2 linked regions of the Nothobranchius furzeri genome follow. The protein of the gene in region 1 purifies or fractionates together with the protein of each later gene. This does not show direct contact. Links are inferred from orthologs where the notes say so. Each region holds a gene or a part of one and is shown on either strand. Other genes may lie near its edges.

Region 1 (4,947 bases):
ACGCCCAGTTGTTTAAAAATAATGGCAGCTTCATAACATATAACCATTAAAGTCTGTTTTAAAATACATGAGAGTGAGTCTAAGGCCCTGTCCACACGTAGCCGGAGATCTGCCAAAACGTAGATATTTTTCTACGTTTTGGCCTGTCATCCACACGAAAACGGAGTTTTTTCACACGAAAACGGATCTTTTTAAAAACTCCGGCCAAAGTGAAGATCTGCGTTTTCTCCGTTTTGGGTGTCTGCGTGTGGACAGACAAAACCGGAGTTTTAAGGTCCGCAACGTCACTTTCCGCGACAAAAAAATGCTGACATCACGTGTGCGACCTGTGTTTACACTAGCCGACAGCATGGATGCCCTCAGAGCTGCGCTCGCTTTTTCAATTGTCCAAGCGCTTTTTGCTCGTTTGTTTTTGCAAGCGGAATTACTGCTCCTTGCGGAAGACCACAGACGAAGGACGAGGTTAAGAACGGGGGAAGTACTGCCGCCTACAGGTTTGGCATGTCCTTAACAACGTATTTATCCGGGTACGTGTGGACAGAGTTTTTTTTTAAACGAGGTGGTGTGGATGCAAGTTTTTGGAGGGGTGGATATTCGTTTTTAAAGAAACCCGGCTACCTGTAGACTAGGCCTCAGTCTCTGGGCAACACCATATTAGATGCCATGTTTCCTTCTATGGAAGTCCATGAGGACAAAAAGCATCTACTAATTTATGACAAACTGTTACAAAATTGTTACCATTAATAAACATTGTTGTTTTACACAGCTCCCTCTTAACTTGCTGCCAGTGGTGAAACGGAGTCTGAGTCTTGTGATGTTGCTGGAGGTTTAACTCCCAGGGATTTTTGACCCTAAAGGCCACCTGTTGGTAAGGTCTTACTTGAACACAAAAATACTGCTTGCTTGCAATGATTCAAGTTATGTACTTCCCCTATGGCAGGGGTGGGGAACCCTGGTCCTCGAGGGCCGGTATCCTGCATGTCTTTGCTTCAACACTTCTGATACAGTGGTTGGTTCACCTGTTCTGCAGCTCATCAGACTCTGCTAAAGCCTGTTAATCACCTGCTGATTGAAATCAGGTGTGATGATGCAGGGTTGAAACTAAAATATGCTGGATAGCGGCCCTCGATGGACCAGGGTTCCCCGCCCCTGCCCTATTGCCTGGGAAAATACACACTGCCACTTTAATGGCACACTTGGCAGTCTTGCTTGTTTTTAGCACCCTCAAGTGTCCATTATTATTTATCTGATGTTAAACCGAAAACAAAATTATCTCCTCGCTGTGAGTCCCTCTTTTTAAAATCCTTAAACAGCTGAAATGTCTCCTCAGCCTTCATTAGTGTCTACAGGAGCAGTTCCTCACTAAATTAAACTAACACTGAAGTTGTCAGCCACAAAGGGCGGTAGGGATCTGAATGACATTTCGTTAACTATGTAAAGGGTCGTTTTAGCACATACTGGCTCAAGAAAACTATTTAAAAACATGAATCCCTTCAACATTTGGTTGTCCACGTGTGGCTTTTGATCCTCAGGTTCTAACTAATTTCTAGATTTTGCAAATCAATAAGTAAAAAGGTAATTGAAAAATGAACCAACTATTATATATTTCTTTGCTGCATGCCCATAAAACAGGCTTTGATCAAAAACGTCATTGTCTGCATTAACAGCATGTAAAAACCCATACTGAACTGGTTCTGTTGTAATCATGAACCAATTAATTTTTTCATCCTAATGCAAAGAATATATCTAATCTTCCTCAATGTTAAGCAACATCACTAATAAACTCATAAAACAACAAAAAAAGTTATCCGGGTTTGGTTTTCCAGTCATATTCCTCCTGAGAACGGAAACAGAGGCGTTACATGAAGGAACCACATCCTGTCTTGTTTACTTCCTGCATTGAAAAACTGCATCACCCAGGAGAGCACCACATTACCGGGCAATAAACATCTCATGTCAGTGTAACAAAACACTTGCCTCAGAGCACAAAATCTGGAACAACGGAATATACAACATTATGAGCAATCACAAAACCTTATAAATATTTAAATTCTTAAACTCAATAACATAACTGCAACAGCAGTAGCTTAAGTAATAGCCCTACCTTGTGAGAGTAGTGAGGATCCATGATGCGGGCCAACCCAAAGTCCCCAATCTTAAGTACTAGGTCCTCTGTGTTAACAAACAGGTTGGCAGGCTTGAGGTCACGGTGCAGCACATTGGCAGAGTGGATGTACTTTAGGCCCCTTAGGAGTTGGTACATGAAGAGCCTGGCGTGGCCTTCAGACATAGGGCCTCGCTCCAGCAGCTGACAGAGGTCTGTCTCCATGTACTCCTGTACAATGTAGACAGAGTTTACCTCTGTCAGCGATGCCACATCTTCTGTTAGCCTGCGACCACAGGGGCCTAGGGTCTCAAACACCTGAAAAAGTCAACACCAGACATTACAGCAAATGTTCAAAGTAAAAAGTAAGTCAACTCATTTTGTTTGATAAACCACCAGAAGCTCCTACCTTGACAATGTTGTCGTGATCAAGTCGTCGAATTATCTTGATTTCCCGCAGGGCATGCTTGACACTCTGGGGATCAGTCAAGATAATTTTCTTCACAGCTACACGCTTGTCACAGTCAGTGTCGACCGCTGAAAACACCAGGCCGTTTCCTCCATAGCCCAGAGGCTTCAAGTCCATGTAGCGAGATCCCAGGTCAAAGCCATGGATATTCATCAATGACTCAAACTTTTCTGCCATGATGATGTTTTTTAGGCTTTAAGCTATTTTCAAGTTTATTTTCAGGCCTTTTACAAGCCCAACTTTAACACCTAAAGAGGAATTTGTTAAAAAAAATTCCCCCTTTCCTTCAAAGGATGATCCAACTAACCCCTGTACAGATGACTACCCAGTCCCCCTGGTTAGCCGTCAATGTCAGATGTGGGGCACTAATGTGAAATCATACGTTCCCTCCATGTTCAGTAGGAAAAATATTTAATATAACAAATTATTTTAACAGCTCCAAGTAAACTAGTGTTTATAAACTATATTGGAATGAAAATTCCAGGCCAATTGGAAGGGAGTAAAAAAAAAAAGCACTGGGATTAGGTTAAACTAGAAAGATGTAGTCACATCCTCACAGTGCAAATACATTCAGTGTACGACTGGTCCTGAGTAGCTTCATATGAAATGTGCCTTATTGCACAAATATTCTTTTTCTTAAATTTCTTCACCTGATCTATAAATTTGAAATGAATCTTGTTCAAAAAAATCTTTCACCCTCAATGATCAGGTGGCTCAAGCTCACCACAATCACAATCAAAGCTATCCTCCATTTTACTTGGATATAACCTGAAAAGAGAAAAACAAAATACTGATTAGAATACAAAGAAACTAGAAAATGGGTGTTCGTGTAAATTTCCTACAAAACGTAATCAAACGTCCCCTTTTGTACGTTAACATGTCATTAGGGACACCAAAACCGCTTTCGCTTTAACCCCGTGTCCTAGAGACATTTGCCCCGCCCCTAACCGGTAGAAGCGCTTGCTAGTCCGGTTTCTGGACATCGATTAATTCCAGAGAAAATACAAGTCAGAATAATAAAATGTACGACAACGTAGGAAAACAGCACATCAATGACAGATGACATATTTTATGCCGAGCTTATACCGCTCGTTTTGGCCTTTTCGAGTGAAACCCTGGCGGAAAAAAACCGACAAGCAAAGAGACAAGCCGCTCGCACAGCGGCTGTCGACTCGGTATCAATTTTATCACAAACACAGCCAGTGGCACACACATAAAATACATTATAAAAATAACACGTTAAAGTCTAGACATCGTGTATTTAATAAATGTCAAGTATAAAGGTTAAACAGAAACCCGGCAATCGCGCGAACAAAGGAGTCCCTGTTGGCGGAGGGTTTTGACTACGTGGTATAGCTCTCTCGGCGCTACACTACACAAAGCCGACGGCGGCTAAAAGGCTCAAAACGAGCATAAAACGGCAGTGAAATTACATCATTCGTAAGCAATAATGACGATAATCAATGTGTGTGAAATTACTTACAGTCCTTATTCGTCGCATTAGTTAGGTTATTGTGTAAATCAAACCCAGACGAGGTTTGACTGCGCTTCGCTCCCCGACCTCTGCGGATCTACTGCAATCGCCATTATGCTGGCTATGAAAGGAAACGGTCACGTCAGAATGCTACATTCAATGACTATCGGAATTGTTCCTACTACAGCGAGAGAACGCTGAAGCTACGTCAAACCATTTATTTTAGATTGCTTAATCACACCGAACTGAATTAGAACATGTCACAATAAATAAAAAATAATAATTGAAATAACAAAAATCATCCAAATAAATTTGTAAATATTTATTTCTCATATGTTAAAAAAGGTGGGCTTATTTACCATGGAACACTGCAAACTACGCTGCTCTTTTTTTTTTATTAAATTCAATATTTTGTTCTTTTTTTTTGTAGTCCAGGAAATACAAGTATTCCTTTGACATATTCCATAAGGCTTCCATTAATGCTTACTGTATTTTCAGTATTATATAACCGATATTAGTAACATAAAATGCAAACTAAACCCTCCTAATTTGACGCAAAATTTCGCAGCACATTTTCACGGGTTCCTTGTACTGTTAAAACTCTATCAGACGCAGAAAGGCGTGAAAACTCGGAGTTTCAAGCAGTACGTGAATGCAGCAGAAGTCATTCAAAACGTAAATTAATTTTGGAGATCACGCCACAGCTGTAGATTAAAAATAATCTATGATGGTTGCAGGTTCATGGATGCAATAAATGCAAAACAGGGAAATCGACTGTCTTTGTTAATCGGTTAATTTTAGACACACACACACACACACACACACACACACACACACACACACACACACACACACACACACACACACACACACACACACACACACACACACACACACACA
Region 2 (4,969 bases), on another chromosome or scaffold:
GCAACAGGTGAATCCTATAGGAAGCACAAATCATGGCTTCAGCAAGTTCGTCTCAGTTTTAGTATTTTATCTAAAGATACTTCTTGGTGAACGTCACTTGAGAATTTCTTTTGTGCCCTACCTCCTCCAATACAGGCGCCGTGAACAGCCACCACAACAGGCTTTGGACACTACAAGCAGATAAGAATAACTTCATTAACATTCCTGCGTCATTATTTGTCCAATGCATGTGATGAGGAGCTCTGACCTTCTCTATGACGGAGAACGTTTCTTGATATTTGGTGATGGTTTTTCTGAGGTTCCAGGAGATTCTTGCCACGTCGTCGCCTTTCGGCTGGAGGATATCATTGGCCATGTCCATCAGGTCAAGACCTGGACATCAACAGAGCATACGGAATAAGCGCAGCTCCGCTGATGAAACTGGCATTAGTTGTGACCCGAAACACACCAGCTGTGAACATCCTTCCTGCTCCTGACATGACCACCACCCTGCAGTCTTGGTCGTCTGCAATCTCATTAAAACAGTCCACCATCTCACTAAAAAATAAAAACACAAACACTATGTCAGGGCTGCTTCAACTATGGATGCGTTTGCAGCTAAGTTTCCGTTAAACTGGATTATTATTAATGTAAGTGATTAAATTTTATTTGTGTGGCACTCCTCACAGACAAAATCACAAAGTCATTAAATCATAGTCATCATAATGATGTGTGATGTGATTTTAATAAAATTATCCAAATAAAAGATTAAATTTAGATGCTTAAACCAAATATTAATGACCTCAAAGCAGAAATCCAGAGCTTTACCCTTTTCAGGAATTCTGTATGATTTTTTTTTTAGTAATCCGTAAAAGGGATAGGCTTCCCCTGTTCTGTAATATAATGTAAATGGAAAATGGCCTGTATTTGACATAGCGCCTTCTAGAGTCCTGGGACCCCCCAAGGAGCTTTACAACACAGTCAATCACCCATTCACACACACATTCACACGCTGGTGGGGATGAGCTACAATGTAGCCACAGCTGCCCTGGGGCGCACTGACAGAGGCGAGGCTGCCGTGCACTGGCGCCACCGGTCCCTCTGACCACCACCAGCAGGCAAGGTGGGTTAAGTGTCTTGCCCAAGGACACGACAGCGACAAACTGAGCGGGGCTCGAACCTGCAACCTTCCGATTATGGGGCGAGCACTTAACTCCTGTGCCATCATCGCCCCTAATGACGATAGGCAATAGTCGAGGTTATTTATCACTTGTAAGTCGCTTTGGACAAAAGCGTCTGCTAGATACATAAACATTTTGTTTTTTGCTAAGCCCACCTGCCCTATAGGCTCCCATACAATTTGAAATGAACTAGCCAATAGCGTTCGACATCTGCTTACGTACAAATGTCAATCACAGAGTGCGTGAACACCTGACGAATCATAGAGCGCAGCTACAACTGCCTTTTGAGGGACTAAAAATACAGAACAGATTGCCTACTTCTACTCAGCGAGTGAATGTGTGTGTGTGTGTGTGTGGGTGAATGACCGGATGTGTTGTAAAGCACCTTGAGGGGTTATACGACCCTAGAAGGCGCTATATAAATCCAAACCATTTACTCGAAGATAGACAAAAGTAAAGAAAAGCCCATGGACTAAACGATCGAGTCGTTTCAACTGTATCATGGAAGCAGGGGGAGGGGCTTGAAGTTGCAATACAATTCTGCCTGTAGATGGTGCCCTCTGAGAAAAATGGATTTCTGATTTATGATAGCATTTTAACTACTCTGCACTGCCTCCTTACTGTATTGTATACAAGCTCTAAAGCTATTATTTCTATATGTAATATTTTAGAAATAAATCTATAATATGTGTGTCCTTATGCATATGTGTGTCTAGATAAAATACATCTTAAAAGTTTTAAGAAAATGTGTGTTTCCTCAAGAAAATTGGCATAAAAACTATTACATGACTTCACTTGAAGAAAAGGTACCCCAATGTCACGGAAAAAAACACACATTTTGTATATTTATTGCTATAAAAATGCTCACCTCCAGAAAGCTTTGTTCATGGCGTTTCTCTTCTCAGGTCGGTGAAGTTCGACATGTGTGAGGGACTCTACTGGGCGACTGATGGCCAGGGTCGTGTATGGAGATGTGGGTCCATCTGAAGATGACATGTTCCTGACCAAAGCCTGAGCAGGCAGCCACAACCTACTGTCTGAAAAGGAATTAAACACGCTTGTGTTTATCTACATTAGGTCACTGATGTATACTAGCTAACCTGCTTTAGGGTGGGCTGTAATGCAAAAAACAGGATCAGGTGACTTGTCACCAAATGCTGCAGAACTGTTGTGTAAAGGGCCTGATAGCATTAAGATGCTTATTATTATGAAAAAATATCCAAAGTTTAATTATATATAAATACATATAGTTTGCAATATTTTGCAGCACCTCACTTGGTCATACATGAATATTACAGCTATGATCAAAACGACTGTTTAATTTCCTTTTCCATCAAAGTAAATCTGAATAATAATAATAAAACACCAATTTCTGTTAATTCCATGTACATTTTTTTATTTAAAGCATTTTAAAGGAATTTCAATCACCTTACAGCTGTAACCCTGCAAAAAGAGACTTAATTGTGAAATAAAAGTCTATATTGTAGACATGCTGTGACATTTGTTAACGCAATGCAAATCAGTAAAAAGGTTAGATACTCAGTATATTTATGCTACAACCTCAGTTATAACAAAAGTATATAAAAATACGTTAGAATGCGTGTCGATTAAGCAGCTACCTTTCACCTACAAACCTCTCCAGGCTTTGTTCATCTCGGTCAATTTGAGGGTTAAATACAAAGTAGAGCTAGTACTAATGACTAACATCCAAACAAACGTGCACATCATGTGACAAAAGAAAACATCTGAACTAAAACAGAAACACAGAAAAAAGGTTAATCCGTTACTTACATCTGGGGAGAGTTGACCTGATACTGACTGACAACATCGCCCTTTGAACGCTGCAGTCGGGAAGCTTTGGTGAACGGTTAAACCAAAGCAAACTGGCAAAAGACTAACGACGTCTAGCTAACCCTAACTAGTAACCAACAAGTTGGCTGGCTTGCCAAAACTCTTCACTGCTTCATTGGTTAGCTTCCAAATGACAGAAAGACTGCTTGACCGCTTTAACCTAAATCTACATGAAATAAGAGGAATGTTTAAAGCAAAAACTGGCCATAAATGTTAACATTTCGCTCTCCTGATTAGCTTAGCCTCTCTAAATTGGTTCTACGGTAGCCGAGTTGGCGCAAACGCTCCAGAAACGCTCTCTTTCGTCACTGTGACGTATAGAAAAACTGGACGAATCCTATGCCATATATCCATTTTACTTATTATTATTAATAAAAGACAATGACAATAATAATAAAATGTACTCTGTTGTTATTAGTTTTACAGTAGCCTAGGTTTGTAATTACATATAATGTCCATTACAATAATGTGCTTAAAAACTGTACTATAAACAAAAAAAGTTAATCATTCTAAGGTTTTAATTTCCTCCTTTTTTTTTTTTTTTACCTCTTTTTACTTTCCAGTTTGAATTTATTTTTAGTCAAAGTGCATTATCTTCTGGGGCACAATCTGATATTTTCATTTGTTAATTTGACAGCAGTTTTTATTGTTTTTTTGTTTCACAACTTTTTAAAAGTGGCTGCTTGAGGGCTTCCAGTTATAAATGTCTGATCATTTCATATACAAACACTGAATGTGGACATTCTTGGTTTTTAAAAGAATGTACGCAAATGGGCAGAGATTTTTGCTTGGTGCCCACAACAGAGATCAGAAAAGTGCAAAGCCATGAACATATCTTCTGCTGAAAGTAATTAAGCGCAGATTGCAGAAACTAATAAATAGAAATTTACTCTTTAAATTAAGCTTTCAATAAATGAGTAACATTAAATTTAGTATAAATTAGGTGTGAAAACTCAACAGGAAATAAACTACATTAATTATAATGTGCTCAAATCTGTCCCAAACAAAGTCCAATAATATTTCGGATCAATTTTTTAAACATAAACAATATAATGGGTTGGCTCACATACAGTTTAATTTAAACTGAATTTAGTTCAATTTAATCTTTAAAATGAGCTTTTAATCTATAGTTTGATTTATTCAACAGACCAAACAATAGCTTTAAATTCAATATTCTTTGAGAGATTTGTGATTTTTTTAAAGATATTTCTAACATATAAATGTTAAATAAAAATGACTTTTTCATGTACAACATATTTCCATCATGAGGTCTCAGTAGCTGTTCCAGAGTGTTATTTTTTCTCATCTGTGGTTATTGACCTGTAAATGAGTATATTTTTATTTTAAAAATAAATTAGTAACATGAGATAAAACATTAAATGACAGAAAATCCTCAAAATGACTATCTAGTAAAAATCCACCTCCAATCCTTGGAATTTGTTTGGTTATTAACCAGATGTGGAACATGTTCCCTCAAAAACAAAAGTTAGAGTAATTAGATGAATAAAACACACTGGATATTAAGAATGATTTTATTCATTCAATATATAAAACATCACTAAAATAGAAAAGTTTTGATCACAACTGATCATAAATAAAAATTGACAAAATAATTAATACAAATATTTCCAAAAACAGAAAAACTAAAAACTTTTTGGGCATTTAAAGACACATTTTATGTAAGAGATTTTATTTGTTTGCCAAACCTGTTTGTGAACCAATGAAATCAAAGTTAAAGACTGAGGTAGACATGCAAAAGAACAAATACATTCATGTTCAAGAGGTAAAACACGGACTTTGTCTGGTTCTGTCTCTGGGGTTGATCCAACATCTCAGACATTTCAGATGGAGTCAGGGTAGGTGTTAAGGATTTGATCACAGTCAAAGTTTTCTAACTGATCTTTAGAGATGCCTCTCATTGATTTGGCTGCCCATTCAGGATGGGCAATGGGTTCTGA

The links.
Region 2: the proteins of mapk6 (region 1) and ech1 purify together in Homo sapiens (affinity purification with mass spectrometry; 3 studies listed by BioGRID and IntAct, with this or other methods). This does not show direct contact. The link is inferred for Nothobranchius furzeri from reciprocal best matches to the Homo sapiens genes MAPK6 and ECH1.

Annotation. Positions count from the first base shown.
Region 1 is NC_091749.1:41,777,443-41,782,389, forward strand, and holds the start of mapk6 (mitogen-activated protein kinase 6), read right to left. Parts: upstream 2,984-4,947; 5' UTR 2,751-2,983; coding exon 2,514-2,750; intron 2,423-2,513; coding exon 2,105-2,422; intron 1-2,104. UniProt on the Homo sapiens protein: Atypical MAPK protein. Phosphorylates microtubule-associated protein 2 (MAP2) and MAPKAPK5.
Region 2 is NC_091753.1:47,224,243-47,229,211, forward strand, and holds the start of ech1 (delta(3,5)-Delta(2,4)-dienoyl-CoA isomerase, mitochondrial), read right to left. Parts: upstream 3,222-4,969; 5' UTR 2,989-3,221; coding exon 2,952-2,988; intron 2,198-2,951; coding exon 2,029-2,197; intron 538-2,028; coding exon 449-537; intron 373-448; coding exon 248-372; intron 171-247; coding exon 122-170; intron 1-121. UniProt on the Homo sapiens protein: Isomerization of 3-trans,5-cis-dienoyl-CoA to 2-trans,4-trans-dienoyl-CoA.